2 linked regions of the Arabidopsis thaliana genome follow. The protein of the gene in region 2 interacts with the protein of the main gene of each other region in a pairwise test. Each region holds a gene or a part of one and is shown on either strand. Other genes may lie near its edges.

What was found.
Region 1: the proteins of SPPL4 (region 2) and NAC3 interact in a two-hybrid assay, tested with the Arabidopsis thaliana proteins (one large-scale study listed by BioGRID).

The regions. Positions count from the first base shown.
Region 1 is NC_003074.8:5,232,705-5,236,827, reverse strand, and holds NAC3 (NAC domain containing protein 3), read right to left. Parts: upstream 2,372-4,123; 5' UTR 2,098-2,371; coding exon 1,917-2,097; intron 1,824-1,916; coding exon 1,555-1,823; intron 1,450-1,554; coding exon 946-1,449; 3' UTR 632-945; downstream 1-631. UniProt on the Arabidopsis thaliana protein: Transcription factors that bind specifically to the 5'-CATGTG-3' motif.
Region 2 is NC_003070.9:232,240-239,754, reverse strand, and holds SPPL4 (SIGNAL PEPTIDE PEPTIDASE-LIKE 4), read left to right. Parts: upstream 1-1,849; 5' UTR 1,850-2,107; coding exon 2,108-2,251; exon of another isoform or gene 2,252-2,731; coding exon 2,732-2,890; exon of another isoform or gene 2,891-2,970; coding exon 2,971-3,082; intron 3,083-3,206; coding exon 3,207-3,326; intron 3,327-3,458; coding exon 3,459-3,610; intron 3,611-3,727; coding exon 3,728-3,910; intron 3,911-4,002; coding exon 4,003-4,037; intron 4,038-4,394; coding exon 4,395-4,557; intron 4,558-4,766; coding exon 4,767-4,820; intron 4,821-5,133; coding exon 5,134-5,226; intron 5,227-5,362; coding exon 5,363-5,505; intron 5,506-5,595; exon of another isoform or gene 5,596-5,749; intron 5,750-6,136; coding exon 6,137-6,207; intron 6,208-6,284; coding exon 6,285-6,368; intron 6,369-6,457; coding exon 6,458-6,567; 3' UTR 6,568-6,915; downstream 6,916-7,515.

The sequences.
Region 1 (4,123 bases), on a different chromosome or scaffold from region 2:
AATGATTCTAAACTAGTCAAACAAGCAGCCCATGCTGACTCACACGTGCAATTTCAGGAAACCCCAAACGGTCCGTTCTCTGTTCTTATCTTCAAACCCCAATTGGTCTTTAAGATTTGGCCATCTAATACCATCACTATCCTTTTCCCATTAAACAATATAACATCTTTATCCATATCCTTTTAAATATATATATATCAATTTCTCTAACAAATTTTGAACGTTCTTTAAACAGCTGTACAATATTACTATTTCAAACCTTACGGCTTGCAAATGCCATTGCACATAAATGAATATATACACAACTATCGCGTGCGAAATTTCTTTATGCCACATGTGTTTATATAAATAGTATTTTTATATTTTACAAAAGTATACTAGTGCTATAGGCTAGAAATCATCTCAGATAAACATACATTTTTGGTCATGTTCGCTATGATATGGTTACCGTCATCAGCGAAAGATGATGACAAATCTATTGTTCGTTTTAGCTGGTACTAATATTAAACGATGAGCGATAGCGAGCAAAGTCATATTCGCTTTATGGTTCCTAGATTATCGATATATTATGGCGATTAATATAATAAATTATGAATCGCTGATTCGTTGTTAATGATAATACTACATGATGTTGACACAAAAATGTGTCATGAATGATAAGGAAACTTTCACATTTCTATCGTTTATCGTTAGCAATAGCAAGTACAAAACTTATAGATCCAATGCAATATCTGTTTTTCTAATAAATAATTGATCAATACAAAAGTTCCAGCTATAAAAGTTTACAAAAATGTAAATGTCAGGACAAATGACGACGAATATACAATACAAGTCGTAGAACCTAAATCTAACCCTAGAGTTCGAATTCTACGCTATATTAATTAACTAATCTGACACGGACAAAAAATAAAAATATGTTTTTCTTATTACGTTACCATTACACAATCAAATAAACCCGAACCCACTAGATTGTTGACCCGAGTACCCAAATCCGTTAACCGGGTCAACACTAAAACCCTGATTAGCCGAGACGTCCGAGTTATTATTAAACCGAGGAATCCCCTCAGTTTGTTGCTGCGTTCCACCGTCACCGTAACGAATACTCGGAACGTTATGACTCAGTCCGAGTTCCGGGACCGAGTTCTGTCCAATCAAATTCGCCCAATCAAAACTTGGCTCCCTGGCTAAACCCTGAAACCCGGTTTTATGATTGGTTAAAACCGGTCTATGACTATGAGGCAGCGCGTTTGATGAACCGGCGGCAAACCCCAAACTTCTGTTGTCAATCTCATGCAACGACTCGAGAACGTCGTCGTATTGATGAGACGAAGAAGATGTCGACGAACCATTGTTGCTGTATTCACGACCACTCGTCATTAGATTATTGTAAGCTTGTTTTTGTGCGCTTGTTTGCTTTTTGTATATTCGACATAAAACCCAATCATCAAGCTGAACATAAAAACAGTTTAAAATATGTTATTCGTTGAACAGTATAATTACAATTACTATATACTTATCTTTTTGGATACATCATGTATTTAACTAAATTTATACCTTGGTGCTTCCATTTCGACGAGAGGGTTCGATGAGACGGTACTCATGCATAATCCAATTGGTTTTGGTTCCTTTTGGAGCTTTTCCAATGTAAAACACCAAAGCTTTCTTGATACCAACTCTTCTTCCCTCCGTCGAGATAACTTTATCCGTACCGGTGGCTTTCCAATAACCCGACCCGGCAACCCGATTAGGTCTTGACCCGTTTGGATACTTCCTATCCCTCGGGCTGAAAAAATACCATTCTTTTTCACCGAATAACGCCTTACCTACAAAGAACCAAAAAGACAAGTTAGAAGAGAAAAAAACATAACTAGCTACAAAGAAACCAAACACGGTTAAGGTTATTAGGTTATACGTACTTGGTAAAACCCATGGATCAAACTTGTAGAGATCGATTTCAGCTATGAGCTGGAGAGAGAAGTCGTGACCGGCGGCTTTTCTACAGAGATATTCAACCATCAGCTCTTCGTCAGTCGGATAAAACCGAAAACCCGGCGGTAAGCTCAATTGGGCTAACGGGTCAAGCTCTTGGAGACCCATTTTTCCTATCACCTCTTTCTCTAGGACAAAGAAAATATCTGCACTTTTTATAGAAAACAATCACAAAACTATCTTCTTTGATTTTCTTTTTTGTATTCTGAGATTAAAGATTTCGAAGCTCTGCTACTCGTGTATGTATATATATAATATAATATTACACCGCCGCCCAATCTTCGTTAACGTGCAGCCTCAATACGGGTCCCACTTTATGTTTATCATGACACGTGGATCAATTAGAGCGTCGTGATTTATGCGATCCCTTTGGTTCTTTGAACCTATACCATAAAGTTGATTATTTATATTAGTAATGTTGTAATATTGTGTGTGTGACTGTACCTCCTCTTATGATTTTTTTTTTGTATTGTCAATGGTCTTCCCAAGTATTAGGGAGTTAACTGAAAGTAATTTGCGAATATTTGTAAGTTCAGAAAAACAAATTAGGTGATTCTTAAGACTAGTGATTTTTCATGCAATTTACGCGGTAAATTTCTATGAATGAGTTACATAACAGTGACAATCTACGAAAAGTATTATGAAAAATAAGAAGTATTTTTTTTTTAATGGGTATGTGCCAAATTGTTTTTTTTTGGTCGTCAAGAAGAAAAAACACGTGTAAGTGAATGATGGGATGAGTTCACTGGATGGTAACATGGAAAGCGTTTTTCATACGGATAGAACTACCACAAGCCGACACATGTCTTGTGTCTATTGGTTGAGTTAGGCGGGATATTTTTCTTTCGTCAAAAGCCGTTAAAGATCAGAGAGAGGGACAAACAACAAACACGAGTTGATGATGCAGACTCTCGTTATTTTTCTATTTGATCCATATGAGACTGTAATTTTTGATTGAAATCAGATGAAACTGTAATTGTGAAACGATAGTATACAATCAGAGGTACCAAGAAATTAGGCTTTTGTGGTTGAGAAATGGGAACACAAGATTTTCGTAAGTCCGTATAACACAAACACGCTTCTCTTCAAACACTTTTTTGTGTACGTGAAAAAGGAACATTTTACCAATTGAAAATAAAGTTCAATTACAATTTTCTTGCAAGTAGATTTATATTTAACCAATTTATGGCGGTTTATTGATTAACATATTTATTTAAGCATTCGAGAACGTACGTGATTTCAATCATGATTAACATAGTTGAGCTTTGATTCATGGTTCTCGATTTTTTTTTAAAATAGGTAAAACAGGAATCTTAGTTAGAAGTCAGATCGTTTATCAGCAAATTTATCGTAGATATATCATATATGTATGTAAGTTTAGGCTTTTTTTTTTTTTTTCTTATTCATTGAATTTTTTGGCTTTCTACTGATAGTTTTTTCTCGGTAAAAAGTTAATTAGCAAACTAGTAGCCCAAAAAATGAAAAATAAAGTTAATTAGCTAACTTTAATTGATATCTTGTGATCACATGTACATGGTGCTGTAAAAATAATTCTAAGCGAATATAACAAGGAATTTGGGGTTTCTTACACTCAATATCTTTCGTGTCACGGTGCATTTGGTGTTAATTCGTTTCTATTTATAATGGTTCTCTTCCATTAAAGATACATCAATTGGTATAGAACGGGGTGATCAAAGTTTTTTTAAAAGCTTTTGTTCTTCTCCTTTTCGGGATTTTTTTGTTAATGTTGGAAGATAATATCCACACACAGGTCTTTAGTTTTAGATAACTAATTAACATTATGCTATTTTAGCGATGTCATGCATATATCATAACGTGTATGTCATGCATATATCATAATTACATAACGTGTAACCCCGTAAATTTGGGTCAAAATACAAAAGTGTATTAAGAATTGATGACGTGGATATCAAGGTGGTATAAGTTTCAACTTTTGACATGTGAGTTTAGTTAATGGTTTGCTGAATAAACCATATGGCTAAACCAATAAACTTCCAATAATAATATGAATATCACACTTATTACAACTTAACCTCAATCTTCCTATATAAAATCAAAGTGCGCCAATGAAATTCGAACTCGAATGCTTTACATTGTAATGGTATAATTATTT
Region 2 (7,515 bases):
TTCACGTGCGAGAATATTATTGGCCATAACATTTGATCTTAGCATGAGGTCGACCACATTAGATTTTCAGATTATAAAAATAATTATCTAATGGTTAACTGTAACATGCCGTCTTGTCGGTACGGTTCATACGGATTCATATTAAAATTTGTGATGACTAAAAAAGTATTTAATAAAATATATATATTATTAAAATTGAGGTAGCCGGTGATCGGTGGATTTGAAGTACATATCGCATGCATGTTCCACGCGCAGCTTGTCTCTATATATGTTCCACGCACATGCAATTCATTACTGCAAATTTTTTTATTTTTTTCTCATTGAATTATATTTGATATTAGAATTGGAAAAGATATAATACATATGAAAATAAAGAGTTTAGACTTTAAAGATACACAAAGCTCGACCCATGAAGAAGGGTTTTTTTCGAGAACATTGCAAAAACCAAACTAATCTTATCTCGAGACTAAACAAAGCTCTCGAAGTTCACCACAAGGACTTCCCGCACAACAAACTGAGAAGACGGGCTTCAACACTTATGGCAATAACAAGATAGTGGAACTTGGTCTTCTCCGTAAATGATGCTTCTTTTTCAAAGAGTACCTAACCCGGATGAACCGTAGGATAATCGAGAACCACTTAAACCTTTCAACACCACAACGATCAATTAATTAAGCTAATCGTTGCTTAATACAACAAAAGAAGAACTGATATGTAATCCAAGAGCTCAACCCCAAACTAACAAAGTCTAACTTAGTCGGGGAAGAGAAGCTAAGCCCAAAAAAGGGAGACAATAGCCCAAAAGAGGGAGACAAATTAACCTAAGCCGCTGATGTTACCAGATCTCATGAATACAAACTGATCAGAGCAACAAGTTTCACAAAAGCAGAAGACATGAGAGACAATGGAGATACCGAGTTATCGAGAAGTCGATCCGATGTTGCACAGATTCAGCCATGGGAGAAGAGAAACAAGCCGTCAAGAGAAGAAGCAAAAGTCTTGAAAGTCCACCGGCAAAGATGAAGCGTGACTGCACTCCATGACCAGCGAACAAGAACAGTGACCTAAGAACACCCTCGACCATCAGATCCCACAGATCCAAGTACCAAAACCCAATCTCACTAGATCTGCTTCACAACACTCACCACTCCAAATTGTAAAGAGCCTCTATGCTTCTAAAACCAAAGAAGACATCTATGAAAAGAAAAACTAAACAGGAAACAAGAAAGGTGACCGACGCCGGCGTTGTAGGAGCCGCCACGCGCCGTCACGAGCACAACGACCACTTGGAGTTAAAGCAGGGAGGCGAGAGAGAAAAAATGTATTAGGGTGAACCGACCCAAAACATCAATGAATTCATTACTGCAAATTTATTATTTGAAAACCGGTACTTTTTAAAAAATTACTGATATTTTTTTGTTTATGATATGATTCAGAAAAAGGTCACTTGATTTATTTGATTTTTATTGAGTGAGAGATGTTTATTATATAGACAATCAACATATTTCAAAAAAGAAAAAAAAATTAAACCTTAAATCATCAATAATCATAACATGGCATATAGTGATATAGATTATAGAATGGGTTTGTCATTCAATAATAGTACTATTATTCAAGCATCGGTAAGTTAATATATGATGTTTGTTTTTTTGTGTAACTTTTTGGTTCCGTTAATGACTCCACATGTTTTAGAACTACACGGCGCTTGATCTGTTATCACTTATCATCATCAGCAGATAAACAGTTTTGATAAATATAACTACAGAAAAGGCAAAATATCGTACGGACAAAGAATTCAATAATAATAAACAGTACTGTACACAGACACCAATACATCTAAACACGCGTCCCACGCGCCAGAGGACCAAAAAGAGAGAGAAAAAAAAAGTCAAAGCCAGCGTTTTAAGCTTTACTTACCTCTAAAACGACACCAACCTTTTTTCATCTCTCTCTCTCCCACGAGACTTTATTTTTTTTCCCTCTTCTCTTCTCTTCTCTCTCTCTCGTTCATTGTACCTTCCTCCATTTTTTCTCCATCTTTCCTCTCTAATCTTTTTATCTTCTTTTTCTTCTTCCCTCCTTTTAACGATTCCGTGGAGTCTGGAATATGATCTTGTGGAAATCTCTCAGTTGTTTCTCGTTCGTCTTCGGGTTGTTGTTGTACAGTGCTAGTTTCGTTTGTGCTGGAGACATAGTTCACCACGACGATTCGCTTCCGCAGAGACCTGGTTGCAACAACAATTTCGTTCTGGTTTGATTTTTGATCTATTTCACTTTGATCTGTCGTTCTTACTCTTTCTCTTATCTCCTTGTCCCTCTTGTCTATCTCTTGGTGACTTTCAGGAATTTGGAATTTAGTTTAGGCTTTGGATTGTAATACTAGGGTTTAGTGGAATGAGTCTGTTGATTGCTTTCTCACTGTCCTCCTCCTTCTATATCTGTTGTTGCCAGCAGATTGAGAAATTGGGTTTTTACAGACTCTAGAGGAACTTTTGGATTCCAGATTTGATGTCATTCAGAATAGAGGGAGAGTAGGTATAGCCATGAGTTACCTAACTAAACCCTCGTTTTAGTCGCATGGACTTTCAATTTGTTGCAAGCTTCTTGTTAGCTATAATAAGGAGTCATTTGGTGTGAGTGAAGAAATTGGGATATAGATCTGGTTTGCGTTTAGGACCCTGCCATGTCATCTTCCAACATATATAACTACAACATATAATTTCATGGACAGGTGAAAGTCCCAACTCGAGTCAATGGGTCGGAGTACACGGAGTATGTTGGTGTTGGTGCTAGGTTTGGCCCAACCTTGGAATCTAAGGAGAAACATGCTACCCTCATCAAACTTGCTATTGCTGACCCTCCTGATTGTTGCAGCACTCCCAAAAATAAGGTAAAGTTTCCTTTTTGGCTTGTCTCTCTTGTACTCATCTTTCCTTCTTGTGTAATTCCAGTTTCATTATCTTTTGGTAGCTTACAGGAGAGGTCATTCTTGTTCATCGTGGTAAATGCAGTTTTACCACCAAAACTAAGGTTGCTGAAGCAGCTGGTGCCTCTGCCATCCTTATCATAAACAACAGTACAGGTAATTCACTAAAGGCTTTTTTCTGTATATATTCCTCCTCTTGTACTAGTTCCAAGTGATTATTTATTTCCCAATTCTAGTTAAATCCCTCTTGAGTTTTGCAAGGTTGAATGTTGCTTTGCAGATCTTTTCAAGATGGTCTGCGAGAAGGGTGAAAACGTTTTAGATATTACTATTCCTGTTGTTATGCTACCTGTTGATGCTGGTAGAAGTCTGGAGAACATAGTCAAAAGTAACGCTATAGGTAATTCTTCGTATAAATCAAACTGTACTTCCGCATAGATTGCTCTTCTTGTATTTTAGCATATCTTATCATAGTTTGGCATCTCTGTGCTCTCTCTTTTTCTTTGAGTTGGTGTTGACTATATTTGTTCAGTTACTCTGCAGCTCTACTCGCCGAAACGTCCAGCAGTTGATGTGGCTGAGGTCTTTCTTTGGCTTATGGCTGTCGGTACCATTTTATGTGCTTCTTATTGGTCTGCGTGGACCGTCAGGGAAGAAGCTATTGAGCAAGACAAGCTGCTAAAGGTGATTGCTGGCTCAAAATTTCGTACAATTTTATATTCTGGACATCCACCATGTTCGAACCTTTTGACAGCCAAGGAAAAGTGCCCTCATTCGTTTGTTATCTATCTTAAACTGCAGGACGGATCAGATGAACTTTTGCAGTTATCAACCACCAGCTCTAGAGGTGTTGTTGAGGTCACCGTGATATCAGCAATTTTGTTTGTAGTGGTGGCTTCTTGTTTCCTGATCATGCTCTACAAGCTTATGTCATTCTGGTTTATAGAGGTGTTGGTGGTACTCTTTTGCATAGGTGGCGTAGAGGTAGAACGTTTATCTTGTGACCAATTGAAATCATAGCAATACCTTATTGAACCATCCTGTACTGATGTTGAAAGTTTTGTTGGTGCTATCAGGGGCTGCAAACTTGTTTGGTCTCTCTACTCTCATGGTATGTATAGTTCTTCTCTCATTAACATTTTCTTGTAAGGAGCTTGTTTCACCTCTTTTTGCTTTTCAAAGAGCAGTAGAGAGGAACATTAAGATGGAAACAGCCCTTTAATACTAGAAGAAACACTCGTGATCCCAAGATTTTTTCATTATTTATTCTCGTGCATTGATCTCTTTTCAAACTTTCTACGTTCTGCATTGTCTTGATTTCAGGTCTTGTTTTACCATGAAATAATGAATCAGATAGAAACCATGAGTTGTTTCTTTTTGTTGACTATGAAATGCTAGGGTATTCAAGCTTCTTCACTCTTTGAGAAGTAAAAAAGAAAATCTGATACTGACGTTAAATTTGTTATAGTTTCAGATGGTTCCGCCGCTTTGGAGAATCATATGTCAAAGTTCCTTTCCTGGGTGCTGTCTCATACTTGACTCTGGCTATTTGTCCCTTTTGCATAGCATTTGCTGTATTTTGGGCGGTTAAACGTCAATACTCTTATGCTTGGATAGGGCAAGATATACTTGTAAGCGCGGGTTTCCATCTCTCTCTCTTAACTGACCTTTCTTGAATCCATGTCTTTCTACAAGTATACCTACTGTTAAATTTCCATACAAGGCTACCATGTACATACCTTCATGCATATGTATAAGTAATTGGTGTTAGGTTGACCTATCTGTAGTCTTAACAAATAACACAAGTTAACAGCTTACTTTTGGTTTTTCTTGCTGACAGGGAATCTCACTGATAATCACGGTTCTTCAAATTGTCCGCGTACCAAATCTTAAGGTATTACCAATTCCTTATCAAATGTCACATGGGATTGCCGTTACAATCATGAGGGCACTAAATATCACATGTTGACAAACACCTTTAGCCATCTCGTACCAGCTTTGTTTTGAACCATCACTTTTCCTGTGTATATATTCTGAATTTGTGCTCTAACATGTTGAAAATTCAACTGTCTAAACCAATCAGTTGAAGACTGAAAATTTGATTGCTGCTGGTAGACGGATACAATCATTTCTGCCAATGTATAGAAGACCAATCTCTATAATAACAATATTAGTTATGATGACTCATTGAACTCTTACGTAAACAGGTCGGGTTTGTTCTTCTCAGCTGTGCCTTCATGTATGACATCTTCTGGGTTTTTGTTTCAAAATGGTGGTTCCGTGAAAGCGTGATGATTGTGGTAAGTTTTTCTTTTTTGCTCCAGACCATCATGCAAGAAGACTTTGTTAGATATTCCAACTACACATACTTATCTGTCTGCTCCACACTGATATTATCGGAGAATTGTACGTCTTTTCCCATTTTCCCACATATAGGTAGCCCGTGGTGACAGAAGCGGAGAGGACGGAATTCCAATGCTACTAAAGATCCCACGAATGTTTGATCCTTGGGGTGGCTACAGCATAATTGGATTTGGTGACATTATCTTACCAGGACTGCTTGTAACTTTCGCACTGAGGTTTGCACTGTTACAATCTCCTCTTGCGCTCTCTCACATTATTACTATATCAAGATCTCAACTAAACTGAGTTATTAGAAGCATACAAAAGTATGAAATGATGCGCAAATGCGGATATCAATGTAAATCAGGACAACAAACCAATAGAGGTGCTCAGCGAAAACAACAAAATGTGAAAAGGGTTTATCAGAAACATTGGGGTCATGATATACCTTTATATCCGCATTTGCGCATCATCTCTGACAGATTTTTTATAAAACAAAATCGCTTGAACCTGGCAAAAAAATCTTATAATCCGACATTCTGGTTCAATTTAACCTTATGTCCTTATGCTTTGTGTCTGTTTAATGTGGTTTGCAATTTTTTGAAGAACTTGTAGATAGAAATATACATTACATAGTCTAGTAAATAGATGAGTGTGAATGAATCAAATGTCTTCAGAGAAATCAGGGTAAGGTTGCACTAGGTAGACAAATGGAGACAAGATATTGTTTAGAAAAAGAATTGATAACTGTAGGGATGTGTTTTCAGGTGATCCATCTTATCATTTTCAGTAATAAAAAGGAAACCTATTATGATAAGTACCTTAATCTAATGTTAAATCCGATCAAAATCGTGCACCGTTCTGCAGGTACGACTGGCTGGCGAACAAGAGGCTAAAGTCAGGGTACTTCCTTGGGACAATGTCTGCTTATGGTCTAGGTATGATCCCTCACGTAGGGGAGAAACGAATAAGAAATCTAGTAAAGGTTTTTTAATATGATTCTTGACAATCACAGGTCTTCTCATAACATACATAGCTCTAAACTTGATGGACGGACATGGGCAACCGGCTCTGCTTTACATCGTCCCATTCATACTAGGTAAGAACACTGAACCCACAACAGATGTTTTGGAACCAAAAGCTATGTATGTTTTGAAACTAAGAATGGTTTGTGGTGCAATGTGTCAGGTACTTTGTTCGTGTTGGGTCACAAGAGAGGTGACTTGAAGACGCTGTGGACAACAGGGGAACCCGACAGGCCATGCCCTCACGTTCGTCTTCAACCTCAATCGTCTTAAAACAACCTGCTATGTATCAGATGGGAACAGATAAAAATCAGATGATCCTCTAGTTTTTTTTTATTGTTAATACAACACACCCCTTCTTAGGTCAATATATATGTCTCTGTACGCTTTCACACAACTAGACAGGAGAGCCCATACCACATTTGCCTTAAATAACTCTTTTAACCTCTCTTGCTAGTTTCTCTCTATTATTAGACATGAAACCATGAATAGACTTGGCTTCTTTTCCTGAGTCATGATGATCAGATTTTCTTCTATAACATACATATGTCCAACTAGTATTTTACAGATTACTAATGTAAAAGGGTCACAAGTTTTTTAGAGGAATTATATATAGTAGCAACTAAAATTTTTCATTAATATGACTGATAGTAATAAAAACTGATGCTAACACTTCTAATATAAAGTTGATGTTGATAAAAGTCTAGCTTAACTGAAAAGAAAAGAAAAAAAAACGAGTCTTGAAAATAAATCAGAAGTTGTTGTTGTTGGTTTGTTATGGGCCGATACCGGTGACCCATTAGAGCACGTTGGACCTATAGTTAAAATGCTGGAAAAGATCTTAAAAAAATTCTAGTGATATTTCAAAATCCGATATTCACCTAAACTTTCGCTTTAAACATTTGCTTTTCCGAATTTTTTTGATAATAAATATTGCTCCACTAAAAATATAATCTTAAATTATATCGATATCACAAGTAAAGTAATCATCAAGTCAAGTTCAGAGTCTCTCAGATCATCGTACCGAATCTATAGAGGAAGCAGCCGATCTCGCTATCAGTCGGTAATATACACTATCATTCTACTTTCCTAATTTCTCTTCTTCTTTTTGTTTTCTTTGAGAATTGCATGACAAACCCTTGGAAAAGGGTTGTTTTAAAATCATCATGAAATTTGAGAATATGATCGGTGGCTTGATTGAATTTTCGTTTTGTGTGAGTG